Linked DNA regions of Oryzias latipes. The protein of the gene in region 1 purifies or fractionates together with the protein of each later gene. This does not show direct contact. Links are inferred from orthologs where the notes say so. Each region holds a gene or a part of one and is shown in the gene's direction. Other genes may lie near its edges.

Region 1 (4,150 bases):
CTCAAAGCCTGTCGGCCATCTTTCTTTCGGTCATTTCTTTGTGAAGTACCGGGTGCCATGTCGCCGACCCCTGCTGAACTACGATTGGGATGTCGTGACAGGGCGTCCACATTCTGCCAGAACGATACTTTATCTCATAATCATCATGGCCCATTTAAGAGCCAAGAACTCCAGCTTCATAGAGCTGCAGTTCTGCATGTTACGCTCTGTAGCTTTTAGCCCCCTACTGGCATGGCAATGGCCGCACACTGCCACCCTGCTCCTGGGACAAAACTGCACCAAGGCCATTGTGGCTGGCATCTACTTCCAGAATAAAGGGTAGTGTGAAGTCAGCACAGGCCAAAACTGGCGCTGACGTCAATTTCTGCTCACAGCACCAAGATTCCTGTGGCAGTATGGTTTCCCCTTGGATGCCTCCAGTAGAAGACTTAAAATGAAGAGCACAGGACTCTCCGACAGGAAACCAAGACTGTGCTTTTAAGAAAATAGACACCCTTTATTACAAATAGTATTAAAATTCCTATTCTGAAAGACACCCAAAAGAGTTAACCAAACCACAAGGGCCATCATGCCCAGCCCACACAGTCAGCTGCACCCAGCCGTGCGCTCTGTTGCGGCACAACAGGCTCAATGCCACGCCCCTTGCGTACAGTGGCAGTAACCGACGCCAGTCCAGGGTGGTGGGACACTGGGCTCTGGTTGTGCCCGGGGCCACAGAAGGCCGGAAGGGGGAACCCGCTCCGATAGCTCTCGATCCGGCTTCATCACGCCGCTCCCCAGTGCGTGGATGGACGGCACTCGCTGAAACGGTGTACAGAGCACACACGATCCCCGGAAATCCCGGCCGTGGCACCGCTCCTGGACAACGGTGCACCAAGGGGTCAGCGGGTTGGATAGAGCAGAAATGCAAACAAACGATGGGAAACAAAAGAAACAGCGGCACCTGCCCCCCAGCTCAGGAGGACTCTCCACAGGAGTCGCATGAGCGGCCAAACACTGCCTGCGATCCAGCTATGGTTATGGTTATGGTTATGGTTATGGCCCCACACACAGCCAAAGGCTGTTGTAAACTTAGTTCATAAATGTTAAATGAGCTGTGATGGTAGCATGCTGCTGCTGTTCTGCTGCTGCTGTTCTGCTGCTACTTCTGCTCCAATAAAACATGTCAGTTGACATGGACAGAGTGACTCTATGGGGGGGGGGGCGGGGGGGTCTCGCGCGGGGAGTAATTCAGGGTAGAACCGCCACTGCTATCGACCATAAATGTAGCTGGATTTCTGTCCTCCTGTCCGATAGGGGGCAGAAACGCGCGGCCCAACGCAGAATGCAAGCGCGCGCAAACTGCCGTAGGACATTTCCGGTGGGTAGTAGGCGGGGCGCCTGTAAAGCGAGGTCCGGGGACGGTAAACAACCGTTCGTGGTGGAGTTTGTGAAAGTCTGAACCGAACATGGAGCGCGCCGCGGGAGCGCGCACTAAGCTGCAGCCGTAACGGAAAAGCGGGAACAGGTCAGAGGAGTCATACCCGACCGAGCGCGAGCCCAGGTCAGAAGGGAGCCCGCAGGGTTCTGATGGAGCTTCACGATCAGCCTGATCGATGAGGCTGATGACGTCAGCCGAAGCCCCTGAATCAAAAACCAAAACATTTTCCTCGTTTCTCTGAAAGCAGCTCAGAACCACAGCGACCAGAGAGGCGTGACGTCATCAGGAAGCAGGGGTTCAAACGTGGGTTCTTAGGCCCCACATGCTGCAGTGTCGTCAGTGACATCATCACATACGTCATCAGGGCTGGAATGGTTCCCTGTCGAGACGGATCCGATTCCTAGTCCATATCTAGTCAATGCAGAATTCAGTCGCCGTTTTAACGCCGCCGCCAGTGATTGGTCCGAGTTGGTCTGAGTCATCGTTTCTATAGCAACCACACTGACCAACCAGGAGTGAGCTTGTTGAAAGGCCACACCCACTTGAAAGCAGGTTACAGAAATCAGTCAAACTTGGGGTTAGGGTCAGCAGGCTCCACCCACTTTCATTGAGGCGTCTGATTGGTCAGTTTATACCTTGAACTACAGAAATGAAATGAAAAATGAGGATTATCAGGAAGAGGTTCTAAAGAATCAGATCCAGAGCGGTTCCTCTGACCCATAGAACGACTGAGGAACAGCCGTTTGTAGATGTCTACGGGATTTTCCTGTTTGGAACGCTAGGGGGCGGGGCCACTCGGTCCAGTTCCCACATGCAGTCACTGGTTTATTCCCGTTTTTTCCTCTGGAAATGCCTGTATACTGCCACCTGCTGGAACAGACGCTACATGACATCAGGTTCTGAGGGGATGGAAGGAACAACCGAAAACGATCAAACACACCTGAAAGGCCTTGATGCGCTTCCCTCTGACCTGAAAAGGGGGAGTGGTCATTGGGCTGTGTGACAGGGGCGGGGCTTACCCCGTGGACGTATCCTGATTTACAGTGGGGTCCTGTTGTGTCTTTAGGGCGGTTCTGGCTCGGTCCGGTTTTGTCTGAGGGGGACCAGCCATGGCGGGACGAGGGCGGGGCCGTAGGCCTTTCGGCACGGACTCGAGCATCAGCAGGGGAGAAGGTCTCCCCCCAGGACTTCAGCAGCCCACGCCTGTGTTTCCTGTAAGCCCCGCCCACACCAGGAAAACCCCTCATTTATATTTAAGTGTTATTCTTTTTGGTTGAATGAAATCCCTCTGTTGTTGTTTTCATTGTTTGTTAAAGCTGTTCATGTCATTCTGAACCTTGTGGGTTATTATGGGATGTCACTGACGTCTACGTTAGGCAGACATTTATCGTCTCGACGTGAACCGTAACAAACAACAGATGCAGGAAAGAGGAGCTCTGACATTTTTCTGCTCTGACACCAACAGTTGGGGTAATGCGCTGATTTTGAAGCACTGAATTCTGGGATTTGAAGTTGGTGGATTTGGTGTCCAGGTGATGGAGCAGAAGCCCCTCCCCCTGGCAGGTGGAGAAGAAGCAGAGTATCTATTGGCCCTGAAGCAGGATTTTAGAGGAGTGATGAAGAATCTGCCATTCTTCATCAAGCCAGCAGCAGCACAGCGAGGTCACACACGTGCACACACACACGCGCGCACACACACACGCAGTCTTATTTTGAAAGTCCTGCTTTCTTCCTGTGCAGATGTTCAGCGCTACTCGGACAAATATCACAGCAGCGAGCAGACGAACAGCCTCACGGACTGGAACCTGGGTGAGACGCCGTTACCACGGTAACATCCAATGAAAACGCCATCAGAACCTTCATGTCTGCACGTCTCTGGATTTCAGACTGGAGACGATTCCCCAGAGAGCTGCAGGTCCACATCAGGAGGAGAGTCAGAGAAGGCGAGTAATCCCATTACTCAGTACTCTGGGTACCTTACTGACTCGTCTGAACAGTATTCATCAGCAGTAATCAGATTACTCAGGGGGGTGAGCATCAGCTGCTGTCTCCCTCAGGTCTGGCCTTCAGCACCATGGATAGTTCTGTGCCAGTCCAGAAGAAGAAGAAGAAGAAGGAGGAAGAGGAGGTGCTGCTCAAACTGGAGGTGAAGGGTTTCTATAGAACCTCTGATGATGATGATGATGATGATGATGATGGCTTTAATGGAAGTGTCTGCAGACCCTGGAGAAGAAGGAGGAGCATGAGCAGAGCTCAGAGGAGGAGGAGGGAGGGGTGAAGAAGAAGCCGGAGGAGGAGGAGGGAGCAGAGGCAGAGGAGGAGTATGATGAGGAAGAACTGGAGGAGGTACGTGGTCAGCAGGCCTGGGTCAGAACCACGGAGGCTCTGCAGGTCTAACTGGACCCTCTGTGCAGGAAACCGACTACATCATGTCGTACTTCGACAACGGCGAGGAATTCGGCGGCGACAGCGACGACAACATGGACGAGGCCATTTACTGAGCAGCTGCTGCACGTGCACGCCACGTGCACGCGTGTGACTGAAGAGGCAGTCCAACCTGGTGTCACCTGCTGCTCCAATAAACAGACGGTCACGTGACCTCGTGTGTCGACCTGCAGCCAACAGTCTGACGTTTGATCCTTTCGGGCCGTACCATACTTCACCACCAGGGGGGGCCGACGTCCCACCTACTGTTGGCGCTGGAGCTTCTGCTTCCAGGAGGTGACGTCA
Region 2 (4,234 bases), on another chromosome or scaffold:
CAATCCTAGGCACTTTAACATTGGGCGTTGGGTCATCTAGACCCCACAAGATTCTTCAATGATTTGTGATCTTCACTGGTGTCCATGGATTACATGAAATCCTCTTCACCTTTATCCACCTTTGTCATGGTAGGGAGAACACGTCAATGGTCATCTTGACCCCATAGGATAGCACAAGGGGTATTTGTGCTTTTTCAAGTCAAAAAATTAATATACCGGTAATTCATATTTATTACAAAAATAACAAAGTAATGAATGCAAAGCAAATATCAAATTTTCCTAAAGACTTTGTGGCTCCTACTACTCCAACACATAAAAGGTCAAATGGCTTTTTAAGTGTTGATGGTTGCAGACCTCTGCTTTAAACCAACAACATGGCTGCTCTCTCACCATCTTCTACACCTTTCCTTTCATTCTTGCTAACATTTTTCTTTTGTCTCACATCATACCTAAACCTTCCTCCACCCATTACAACCTGTCTGCATATGCCTCTACAACCAATCTGTTGTTCTAGACTGGAAATCCTCCCCATCTTCTGCAGCGGACCTTCAGTCCTCTCCTTTCCACGTCAAACCCCCACCTCTCTAGTTGTTCTTCCACTTCCTTTCTGCTTTCAATGCATGTCATTTGCAGACATCATGGTCCACAGAGATTTCTGTCTAACTTCATCTGTCAGTCTGTTCATCACCACACAAACAAGGAAGACCATCTCACCACTGCCTCACACCTCTCATACATGTCCAATTTCCATTGGCACCCTGTGGATGACTGTACCATTGGTGGTTGTTGTTACACCTTTGCCACGATTAGTATAAAATTTATTGTTGTAGTTTGCACGACTGTATTGACTTTGGTTTTACTGGGTGCCCTTCATGACACAACCCTTTGTATTTACAAACCATCTCACAATTCCCTGTTTAAAATTGAACCGTGTGTTTCACCATTGAACTGAACAAAATCGTGGAGAAAGTGAATTGTTGCATCTCGACTGGATACCACTAGGGTGACGTTGAGTGACAATGAGTTGTTTTAAATTTAACACAACTGATTGACACTCAATTGTGTTAAATGTAGGAAGTATTTATTGATTCTTTATTCTTTAAGTAAATTATACCAGTCTTAGTGTAACCCAGGTATAAAAGGTTTCTCTTCATTGGTACTTACCTATTTCCAAATAAAAAAAAAACTTTTCCGAATGTCTCGGTTCTTGTTGTTTCGTGATACACAATTCATATATACATATACGGCACGTATATATATATGTCCCATGTCCTTTAGCCGGACATGGGACAGGTAATGCGTCGTGCAGCCTTGTGGTTGCATTTATAATTGAACATGAATAGGCAGCGTTCAGCTGCCTATGGACTATGATGACACATTTTCCTTCGCAATGCATCACGGTAGCGTGGCCGAGCGGTCTAAGGCGCTGGATTAAGGCTCCAGTCTCTTCGGGGGCGTGGGTTCGAATCCCACCGCTGCCAAGAATTCTTTTTGGTACGTCGTTGTTTTTCCTCAACGCTTGATCTAACAGTTAAAGAAAACACATGCAGAACGAATTAGTGAATAAAAGGTAAGTTAAAGTAAATAGGTTATAAAGACACGTGACAGTGCTCAGTTCCGCAGTTTGGTCCGAATAGCATTATTTGCACGAGCACGTCCAACTCCCCACGTGTCTGTTGAAACAGCGTCAACATCATGGTACCTCAAGCCCGGTAGTTTGCTTCAAGTCTAGTAGTTCACTCATGGACTGTTCTTGAACGTGTTATATATTTAAACTGCAGGGGGTGAGCAGGTGAGGCCTCACGCTGTTTCTATGGGGATGCCACATGTCCAAAGTGCTAAATCTGATGTTTTGTCTTGTTTATCATAAATCTCTGATGTGTGTGTTAGCACGCTAAGCTACATTACTCTGGTTAGCTTAGCTACAGCCTACCTTCAGTTTTGGAATTTTCAGAAAACTCCACAGTTAAAAGTGTCGTTCGTCTCTGTCTACTTAAGCGCGTATTTGTAAAGAAATGTTATTTTGAGTGTCTCTGTTGTGGGGGCCTGTGGCTAGTAATTTAAAGAGCTGATGCTTGCTAGGCTAATGAAGCTAACGAAGCAAGAACTATCTGACTTTTCTGAACTGTGGGCCTGCAGAAAATTGTGTAACCAACATAAATCACAGATTGACAAGGATGCTGGACGTCGTTTGTATTTAGGGAAGTGAAAAACTTCAATTTTTTGGATGGTTGCGTACTATTACATCAGTTTCGCCGTGATGGGTCCGTGAAAGCATCATCTGACATGCTGCATCATCACAGATTAGTTTAGATCGCATATAGATACAGAAATGTAACTTGTTATACGTTTAACTACCAATGAAACACTTTTTTTTTTTTTTACAAATATAATGTACATCTGGATTACTAGGACTTCTGTTAAACCTTTCTGTTCTTTTGGATTACCTGCTGTAGCATATTAAAAGCAGTGTTAATCAATGACGGATTCTTGCTTTGCATTTATTTTGTCCAGGTTGAAGTCCTCTGATATATCACTGCTGCTCCCCTGATCCTATAGATATGGCCAGTGGAGATGAAGATGATCCAATTATAGAGGAGGTATGTTTACGTCTGGAATTTAAATAAAGTTTCAATCCTCTTCTGATCACTGCTATGCAGCAACTTTGAGCCATGAGAAATATGTATTTGAATGAATGAATTAAACTTTATTGATCTCAAAAATAAGGAAATGACCATGTTTATGGGTAAATGTAGTTCCCATTAAACTAGCATGTATTAGTGTTTGTTTTAAGCTAATTTGAAGACGTTTTTCTGTGGTCTGCGGTCGATTGAAAAACAATCCAACATGCTGTTGTCTAACAATTCATCTGTGTTTACACTGTGACCTTCTCTAAAGAGAATGGAAACTACTGACAGCCTCTGAAATCGGTCACATATTTACATTAAACAACATTAACAGTATTAGGCAAGTGGTTTGGTTTTTCCAAACGCATTTTAATTAGAGTGGTTAATTTTCACATACATGTCCTCCATCATCATAAAAAAAAAAAACAATTTTCATCAGAGTGTGGGTCATCAGTTTCTTTGGGAAACCCCCCCAAAAAAGAAGAGCCTCTGAGTTTTGCAGCATTTTTCCTATAACCTGATCTGCAGGATTGCATATTGAGCCATATGTACAAAAAGGAGTGCCGCTGCTTTGGGGTTTTCAACTGGAAATGTCTCCTTCAGTTTACACTTGGTGTGGGAGTTTTAGTGTGTAGATTAGCAGGTGGTTTGTACAAAATGCCCAAGGAAGCCTTTTGTGCCATTGTTTAAGAGAAGTTGTTGTGTTTAAGAGGCAGATGTATTCATAGGCAGAAAAACCTTTTTGGTATTGTTTATTAATATGTTTTCAAAAAAACTATTTTTTAATTGACTTTTTGTGTACTTATGTTTCATGCACTTTAGGAAGCAACGTTATGTATGTAAAGTGCTAAACAAATAATGTTTAGTTTAACAATTTTCTTATTTATTATGTTTTAAGACATTTTATTTAGATAACTACATGAATAGAAATGCAGTTAAGACTCATATAATATTACGTTGAAAACCTTGAAGCTCAGAGTCATTTGTGCAGAGTGGAAAAGTCTGATTTTCATTTGTGTGTTTCTGTAGATTGACGTGTACCTCGCCAAAAGCCTCGCAGATAAGCTCTATCTTTTCCAGGTAAGCATTTCCTTCATTATTGTGCCTGTTTTTATATTCTGCTTAAAACCTTTTACTTTCCTCATGGTCAATGCTTTTTATTTTTATTTTTTTATTTATTTTTTTTACTGTTAAATGGAAGTCAGTTGAATGTGTTAGTCACATAAATATACACATAAAAAGGAAAAATTGAATTCAAAATTATTATTCTTTTTCTGTTTTGAGAGCCACAAACATAATGAATAAGCATTTTTTCTGCCCTTTCAGATGTTTTGTTGAAAATGTGTAACTTGCACCAAACCCATTTCAATTATCTTGATTTTAATGAAATGTTTCTGTTAAAATTTGTTCTTCAAAATGTTCCTTTTTTAGTCATTTATTCCTTAAGCTTTTAATTATTTATCTTTAATAACAGATTAATAAAATAGTATTTTTTCTAAACTTTGATAGTTGAAAAAAAGCTCTCCTCTGGCTTGTTGTGTTGACTCATCGTTTAATCTTTCGTTTTTTGTGCAGTATCCTGTCCGGCCGGCTATTATGACCTATGA
Region 3 (4,125 bases), on another chromosome or scaffold:
TGGAGTTTCAAACATCATCTAAACTCTATATCTTGAATTCCCCTTTAATATTTTCTCACACTAAACCATACTCTAATGACATGCAGCTCATAAAAAGGTAACCTAAACTTTCCCTGTTTGATCAAATTGATTTATTTAACTGCATCTATTTATATTTTTCACATATTAAAAACAAATATTTTCTTTGCACTCTGAAGGCCTATTGGATGTTTCCTTTAACAGATTATTTGTATTATTACTATATCACACAGTAGGAACATTCATTACTTATATCACAAACTCTATTTTAATTCCTTAAAAATGTAAAGATGTGAGTTTCCATTTAGAGTTTATATTAGATTTAATCTGTTTAACTGCATGGAAATATTTAATCTTACTGTTTTATTTAACTGCATGCAGTTGTTTGCATAAGGTAGCAAATGGATAGTTCAGTTGGCTCTGTGTAGGACTGGATCATGGGAAACCAGGATCCGCTTCCCAGGGGCCACAATGAACTTGATGCAGTGTGGGCCCTTAGGCAAGACCCTTTGTTGTACTGCGTAACTATGCAGCCACAAGGGGGCCCAAGTCTAGGTTCCCCTGTGCCGGTCCCCAGCTAGGATAAAATACAGGGTTGTGTCAGGAAGATCATCTGGCGCAAAAATCTCTGCAAAGCTACCTGTGAGAATCAGGGAAAGCTGATTCGCTGTCGAGACCCCAGAAGGAATATGCTGAAAGGCGAGAAATATAAAAGCGTGAATGTTGCATAAGACTATTTTGCTGTAAGACAGAAAATAACCAAGGAAACAAGTGCCCAAACAAATGAAATATTTATTATTATTATTATTATTATTATTATTATTATTATTATTATTATTATTATTATTATTATTATTATTATTATTATTATTATTGTTAGTAGTAGTAGTAATATAATCAGTTCCCTTAGCATGTCAGAGGAAAATAACATCTTTAGAAAAAAAAAATTTCCAATCTCGAAATATGCCATATCTTTTGGTTCTTCACATCTGAGACATTTATTTCAAAACATTCAATAACATTAATCCATGCAAAAGATTTTTATGAATCTGACAAAACTTGCAGGAAAACTAATGCACGATATGTCAGAACTCAAAATATAATTTTCATTTAGCTGTTTTAGGAAACATTTGGAAAGACTAGTATAATCGTTTATCTAATCTTATCTTTTTTATGACAGTGAATTTTTTTGGACTGTGGATTCTGAAATAAAACATAAAAATAAAACAAAATAATGTTTCTAAGCATGCGCGTTTTTCTGCGCATGTTTGATCCTCGAGAGCAAGTTGAAGCCAAAGCGGAAGTGTCATGGCGCCGCTAGTGAATGCAGCGGTGGACGAGGCAACAGGATTTTGTTTCTGATATCTGGCAGGTTTTAGGGGGGAAAACTCCGAATAAGGACCACCGAGGACGTGTCGTGTAAGTTTTTGGAGAACTGCAATATGTTAAGACTTCCTCTGGACAGCTTTCGCGTTGTTTGTGATCTATCTTACTAGCCACGTGTTTCTGTAACATTTTTCTTCATTCATCGTATGTAAATACTGGTTGTGTATTTAAATCACTGACAAATATCATTGTAAACACAATTTATTCTCAATGCTTAGACTCGAAAGTTTAAGAAATCATTCCTAATTAATGTCTTGAATTGCTTACGTTCAGAACCACAACAGAGTAAAAAAGATAAAAAGAAAAAGGTTACAGAACGGACTGAAAGTATATTTTTGTTTATCCCGGTATTATTACAAATTACATTAATGTAAACCTCAATAACATTAATTTTAGGTATGGGGTCTAATGATTAATTAATAAAGTGACACATCAAAACAGATTTTGTGGCTGAAACAAGTTGATAATGGATTCAAATCGAACTGTACCATTATAAAATCCTTTCAAAATTATATTAAATTGATAATCGATCTTGGAAAGTACCATTCAGATACATGCTTGGTTTTTTAACTATAGCGTAAAAACGACGTGATGGTGATGTTAGCAAAGAAATGTCAAAGCATCATTCCATTGCAATGTGTGGAAAAACAATTAATTTAGAAAAGACATGTGACCATAATCACAATAGTGTTCAGAAAAACAGCAGAAATCATTGATCGATTTTCTGGTCTTGTTACAAACTAACCAACCTCCAGCTGGCACAGAAACATGCCCTCTTGACTGTGAAGGAATTGAGCGTCCCCGCACAACAAATCAAACATACCCTGTAAGACGCGCATGCTCAATGTGTTTGTTTAGGGAAATAACAGAATTCTTTTTTTTAATTGGACAATTGCAACATACAGAACAAGAGAATGCAACAATTATGCACATATAATGTACAGTAGAATAAACGTGTTACAACATTAAGAAAATTTTAATTATTAGAAGCAATCACAAAAGGCAATAACAAATAAAAATAAATAAATAAAATAAAACTAAACAAAGAAAAAAATAAAATAAAGTTAAAAAAAAATAATAATAAAAAGAGAAAATACGAGAGTAAACTTATATCAGTAGTCCAAAAAATTTACAAATTTCAATTGTTTTTTGAGCTTTTGTATTTTTTGAAGATGAAATTAAGTTTAAATATTGCTGCAGTTCAAGTGACAGAATTTGTGGACATGAAGGGAGGGACACGCAAATCCCCTTTTGTAGCGATGATAAGACACTAAAAATCTTTTCTTTATCTTTTTGCTAATTTTAGTGTCACGTGCTGTTGAGCATTGCTAATTTTCTTGCAAAGATGTATTACAAAAACAAGTGCGTTGATCTTATTTTGCGAGATAACAGCTGGTTCTTTTAAATTTTGGCATAGGGGCCAAAAAAACAAAACAAAAGAACTTCTAGCCTGTAGCTTTACTTTGAAATCCAATGATTGGCGACACACGAGGATGAGGGGCCATAAATAAACGTCACAGCTGAGATCACCTGGTCAGAACACAGTACTTTCTCAGGAAGTTGAGGCAGGCCCTCTTCTTTCAGGAACTGCTGGTCAGGTTTTATAAGGCCAACAATGAGGGTTCAGTTCTAGTGCCGCGCTGTCTGAAGGCACAACAGAGGACAGGAAGACCGTGCAGGAAGTAGTAAGAACAGAGGGGAGGGGGATAGGAAGTGCACTACCAGACTGATTGGGAAAGAGTTGTATTTGGAAAGATGCCACACACCCTGGACATTACGTAACTGTTTTAAAGGCACACGCCAACAGAATCCAGAGTAGTGTTTCACCTGGCAGTAAAATGTGTGCAACCTCCTCATAAAGACATTTGAAAACAATTTTTATGTAATATTTGTGTATTTTCCTTTTAAACATCACCATTGTCTGAGAGAGATGATGATGAGTATTATTGTTGGCCACCAGGTTGGGAGTTTGACATCCCTTTAAAGTTCAGGATGGCGGACTCCGGGGAGTCCAGCAGTCAACGCGTTCCCACTCCTGCAGGCGCCAGCAGCAGCAATGTAGGACTCCAGATGGGGCGTCGACCACCAGCTGGACTCTCTCCTGGACGCCTCCCTTCCATGCGGTCAAGGGACCTCACCCTGGGAGGAGTGAAGAAGGTTAGCATCATACCTCACTCGCCATTTAATCTTTGGGTTAGGAATTGTGTTAGATGAGTTAATCACACCAGATATATTAAGAAACCCTTCTGTAGCTTCTTTTGCCCTACTTGCAATCATGATTTTTTTTTTCTAGATTTCAAAAATAAACAGCTTTTCTTATTACTCATTTATCTTTTTTTTAATTTTATAGAAAACCTTCACACCCAACATCATTGGCCGAAAGGTTAAAGAGGAGTAAGTTGATTTTATTTCTAGGATTGAAAAATGCAGTGAAGAACAAATAAAATTCGTGTAAACTGAAGCTTTAACTGTTTTAAAAAAAAAATTTTTGGTTGCAACAGAGCCAAAGTTGAGACTGATCAAAGGAGAGATCGGAGAGGTGGAGAACGTGGTCGAGGGCCGAGAGACAGAGGCAGGGGCCGAGGTCGCCAAGAGATCATCCAGTCCCATTCTATCTTTGAGCAGGGGCCGGCCGAGATGATGATGAAAAGGAGAGGTGGGGGGCCAGCAGGACTAGCATATGCAGTTTGCTGCTGCAGCTGAACTGCCATTTTTAAAGTT
Region 4 (3,948 bases), on another chromosome or scaffold:
ACGGGCTGTTGTTGAATATGCCCAACCTCTGCATTTCATTTTGGAAGATTTTATTATCCAAATGGTGGAGGGAAAAAAGTTTGACGTTTTGAGAGAATATCTTGATTGCAGCTACACTCGAGGCACCGCCGTCAAAGACGGTGTCAAAAAAATAGTTGAGAGCAGAAATAACCAACGGTTCAAAGAAGCTGCAAGGAGCTGTGTGGATGACAAAGTTGTACAAACATTCCTTGAGTTTTTCTGCCAAACTGAGGAACCTGTCCCAATGGAGGTTGTTTAGGTCTCATCATCTCATTTTATAGTTATCCTGGGCTTGACTGCAGTAAAACAAAGAAATTCCAGCAGTGAAAAGCAAAAATTAAACGAAAGCTTTAAACTCAGCTTTAATAAAAGTTAAAGCTTTAATTTCTGCACTTATTGTTTACTTTATTGTTGCTCCAAGCAATTCACATGCACCTGTTTAATATAATTATGTGATTTTTCTGTCCCAGAAACATTTTTAACCATCACTCTCCAGTTCAGAGAAAAAATAATGCTGGAAAAAATCTGTTCACTCTTGTATATTTTACTTGTATGGATGTCCAATTCTTACATTTCAGTCTTGACTCATTCCTGTATCAAGTTCTTGAAAAGAAATGCCAACAAAAGGTTTCCTTTTTTTGGTTGTTTTATTATGTTTTGGGATTTATTTGTTTTTTCAAATATAGATTACTCATTACTCAGTGCAGTAGCATAAAATTCATTGTACTTTTTCTGTTTTTGTTTTTAAAAAGCAAAAAGTGTTCAATACTGTGTGCTTCAAATCATGACTAATGAAACTGTATTAAAATCTGATAAAAGTGACTTCTAGTGTATTCCTTTTTTGTTCCCTTACCCTAACAGTAAATGTTAAATGTTTAATATGTTTAAAATAACCCTCGATGTGTTCAGGGTGTACTTCACCTTCTCCCTGATGCTGCTGCATGAGGCTCTGGAAGTCCTTGTTAATTTCATTGAACTGTTTGGTGAAGGGGCTTTCGAATTTACACTTTTTGAGATACTCTTACATTGTTTTTCATTTTCAAACATCTCGGCAGTGTTTCACTTTTTTAAATATTTATTCTGTTTTCTCTGATCCCACGTTCTATGTAAAAATGCGTTTTTTGCTAGGCGGAACCAATATACTCCCCTATTTTCTACACGAACCCCTTTATTGTAACGGAACCTAAGAGTCGACATGGAAGTGTAAGATTTTTTTTTTAAGAACAAAACAACGGCTAATAAGTCTTTTATGTATATTTACATGTACAATTTTAATTGTGATCGATGGTAGTTTCGTGCGTGTTTCAGTTTCGGGTTTATTATGTGATGTTTTGCTTGTTCCGTTGGGATGATGCTGTCGGCCAAAAAATGGAGAGATGATGATCGACACACAAAACAACTGAATTAAAACATATTGAGTCCGGGAGACTTTGATCCATTTTGAAGAGTTTGCAGTCTACAAATGTTTTAAATTGTATTATGTTTGGGGACGAAGTTAGAGACGGGACAAAAGGTCGCGAAATCGTTTATAAACGTAAATTTCAGAAGATGGGAGAAACAAAAAGCACGGGTCGGATTAGTTTGAGTTTGTGTTATCAAATATTTGTTTCAAATCATGAAACATTCCATTTACAAACACATTCTGCGTTGGCTCTTCAATAATAAATGAATTAGTTATGACATGATGAAGCAGCTAAAAAACATTTTGTCATCTAATATAAGCCAACTCAGCCGCACTCCACAACATTTGTCAACTTGTCACTTGAGCTCTGATCTAATTCATATTTGCCTGAAATCACAAACTTAATTTTTCTAAATAACATTGAAGCAAAGAAATATGGGAAACAGGTTTGAATTTAAACAGTATTCTGTCTTGTTTTTCATTAGATTTATTTATATTTATCAAAAGTTTGCTTTTTTTAATTGTATTTCTTTTCTTCTTCAAACTTGAAAAACAAAAACATTTGCTAATATCTATTTCAGTAAGTTTCAACGGCTTTAAAATAATCTAATTGATGGGTTTCTAGTTTTTAAAAAGGGAAAACACAAAAAAAAATTATTGCTGTTCATTAAAGAGAAGATCTGAGGTTCCGATTAAGAAAATTTCGTTATATAAATAAAAATCAAGTAGAGAAATCCAGCCGTTCTTTTAGTAACACAAGGATGTGAAGATCAAATCACAGAAGAAAAATGTTTACTAAATATATAAACTACATGGGAAATATTCCAATCTTATAAAGCTTGTTTTGGTAACAGATATTTTAATTATCTCATAATTTAATGTTTAACAATTGTTATTTGGGTTTTTTTACACAGAAAAAATGCAAACGCGGCCATGCTCAGTAACTATGAGGTGAGACTATAAGACTGTCTATTAAGGGTTTTTGTTGATTTTCCTGCCTGGTAATGAAATTAATTATTCAGAAAAGCTAAATAATGTCTTCGTCTCAGGTATTCAAACTTCTCACCGACCTGAAAGAACAGAGGAAAGATGCTGGAAAAAGCAAACATAGCCTCGGGCAACAGGACCTCAACACCATCATGTATGAAGTGGGTACTATTCATACTGTCTGAGCTTTAGTTGTCAAATCCAGTCCATGTTCTCACCTGCATTTGCTTTCAGACTCTAAAGTATTTGTCAAAGACGCCATGCAGCAGACAGAGTCCTGAAATTGTCAGAGAGTTCCTCACCACCATGATGCCTCAGAAGCTGACCAAGTCAGTATCTAAAAGATAATATTTTTCACCCCTCTGGGGCTTCAATTGTAATTTCCGCTTAATAAATGATGTATAGTTTGGGGATAAAAATGTCTCAAAGTTAAAATTTTGCCATCTTTCTCTCTTTAAGGGCAGAAAAACTGCAGCTGTTAAACCAACGGCCTCAGAGTGCAGTGGAAATTCAGCTTGTAAGTATTTTTCATGTCTTTCTAAATGTTTTATCTTTTTTTCCTAAATAATTTACTCATGTATTCCTATGGTAGCTCTGTATAACAAATGAGATCTTTCTCATATTTGTATTTTTGTTAACTCAACCCAAAAAGGCTCAAATCTAACCCAAAACATGCACTTTTTCACATGCATCCATCAGCAACTTCATTTGTTACATGTAGATTGCCCTACAGGTTCTACCACTCTGGTTTTTTCATGCTATTCCTGTCTGCAGGGTTAGTTTGAATGGGCAATTCACAGTAAATCCAGGCTTGAGCCCATTCCTGTAACGCATTAATAATCTATTGAAGCAGCTATTACAAGACAATGTTAACAATACCTTATACAGCAAACCAAAAAGACCCTCATGACCCGTTTAAGCAAAGCCTTATTATTGCTTTAGCTAAGCGTTGAGGTTATGGCTGTGATGGGTTTAGAAATATTTAATCCTTAAAATGGGTACATTGCACTATTTGACTAAAAATCAAGTAGAGAAATCCAGCCGTTCTTTTAGCAAACTGAGTAACACCAGGATGTGGAGTGCAGACTTCTGATGCTGCTTCACTGGGGTGTGGTGTGTCCCGAAAAAATCTTTTTTAGCAACCAATAATTACTCACCTAAAGCCAAGTGTAGAAGGCTCCCTCTATTAAGAAATAATCTGGTTTCATAATGCAACAGCAATTATATATTGTCCTAAATCAGTTATTCTAGAGCAGATTATCTCTTAGAGTACATTTTAAAAAGTGAATTTCCAAAACTATATGGAGCCTCTTAAAGAACTGCACTCCCTGTTTACCATTTGTCTCTCTGCAATCTGTATCCTTTTAAAATAAAAATATTTTTTTCAATACAAAGCAGCTATAAAGCAGTTGTTGCAGTGAACACAAATGAGGCCATTTCCATTAGCATCCACTAACATGCAGTTCTAAAACTCAGCCTGCAGATGTCGCCCTTCTCACTTTTGAGATGCTTTTAACCCTTGTGCTATCTTAGATGAC

The links.
Region 2: the proteins of polr3gl (region 1) and polr3e purify together in Homo sapiens (co-immunoprecipitation; 5 studies listed by BioGRID and IntAct, counting the BioPlex papers as one, with this or other methods). This does not show direct contact. The link is inferred for Oryzias latipes from reciprocal best matches to the Homo sapiens genes POLR3GL and POLR3E.
Region 3: the proteins of polr3gl (region 1) and polr3d purify together in Homo sapiens (co-immunoprecipitation; 4 studies listed by BioGRID and IntAct, counting the BioPlex papers as one, with this or other methods). This does not show direct contact. The link is inferred for Oryzias latipes from reciprocal best matches to the Homo sapiens genes POLR3GL and POLR3D.
Region 4: the proteins of polr3gl (region 1) and crcp purify together in Homo sapiens (co-immunoprecipitation; 3 studies listed by BioGRID and IntAct, counting the BioPlex papers as one, with this or other methods). This does not show direct contact. The link is inferred for Oryzias latipes from reciprocal best matches to the Homo sapiens genes POLR3GL and CRCP.

The regions. Positions count from the first base shown.
Region 1 is NC_019874.2:32,576,091-32,580,240, reverse strand, and holds the start of polr3gl (DNA-directed RNA polymerase III subunit RPC7-like), read left to right. Parts: upstream 1-1,348; 5' UTR 1,349-1,507; exon of another isoform or gene 1,508-1,543; intron 1,544-2,486; 5' UTR 2,487-2,529; coding exon 2,530-2,634; intron 2,635-2,885; exon of another isoform or gene 2,886-2,952; coding exon 2,953-3,082; intron 3,083-3,160; coding exon 3,161-3,229; intron 3,230-3,306; coding exon 3,307-3,363; intron 3,364-3,477; coding exon 3,478-3,566; intron 3,567-3,631; coding exon 3,632-3,766; intron 3,767-3,834; coding exon 3,835-3,921; 3' UTR 3,922-4,150. UniProt on the Homo sapiens protein: DNA-dependent RNA polymerase catalyzes the transcription of DNA into RNA using the four ribonucleoside triphosphates as substrates. Specific peripheric component of RNA polymerase III which synthesizes small RNAs, such as 5S rRNA and tRNAs.
Region 2 is NC_019877.2:13,142,969-13,147,202, reverse strand, and holds the start of polr3e (DNA-directed RNA polymerase III subunit RPC5), read left to right. Parts: upstream 1-1,426; 5' UTR 1,427-1,494; exon of another isoform or gene 1,495-1,570; intron 1,571-1,626; exon of another isoform or gene 1,627-1,792; intron 1,793-2,514; 5' UTR 2,515-2,561; coding exon 2,562-2,600; intron 2,601-3,656; coding exon 3,657-3,707; intron 3,708-4,202; coding exon 4,203-4,234. UniProt on the Homo sapiens protein: DNA-dependent RNA polymerase catalyzes the transcription of DNA into RNA using the four ribonucleoside triphosphates as substrates.
Region 3 is NC_019867.2:17,411,589-17,415,713, reverse strand, and holds the start of polr3d (DNA-directed RNA polymerase III subunit RPC4), read left to right. Parts: upstream 1-1,317; 5' UTR 1,318-1,437; intron 1,438-3,364; 5' UTR 3,365-3,396; coding exon 3,397-3,561; intron 3,562-3,754; coding exon 3,755-3,798; intron 3,799-3,905; coding exon 3,906-4,060; intron 4,061-4,125. UniProt on the Homo sapiens protein: DNA-dependent RNA polymerase catalyzes the transcription of DNA into RNA using the four ribonucleoside triphosphates as substrates.
Region 4 is NC_019872.2:8,449,022-8,452,969, reverse strand, and holds the start of crcp (DNA-directed RNA polymerase III subunit RPC9), read left to right. Parts: upstream 1-1,140; 5' UTR 1,141-1,216; coding exon 1,217-1,224; intron 1,225-2,337; coding exon 2,338-2,374; intron 2,375-2,472; coding exon 2,473-2,571; intron 2,572-2,644; coding exon 2,645-2,739; intron 2,740-2,869; coding exon 2,870-2,927; intron 2,928-3,948. Other genes in the region: protein FAM111A, read left to right, coding at 1-280. UniProt on the Homo sapiens protein: DNA-dependent RNA polymerase catalyzes the transcription of DNA into RNA using the four ribonucleoside triphosphates as substrates.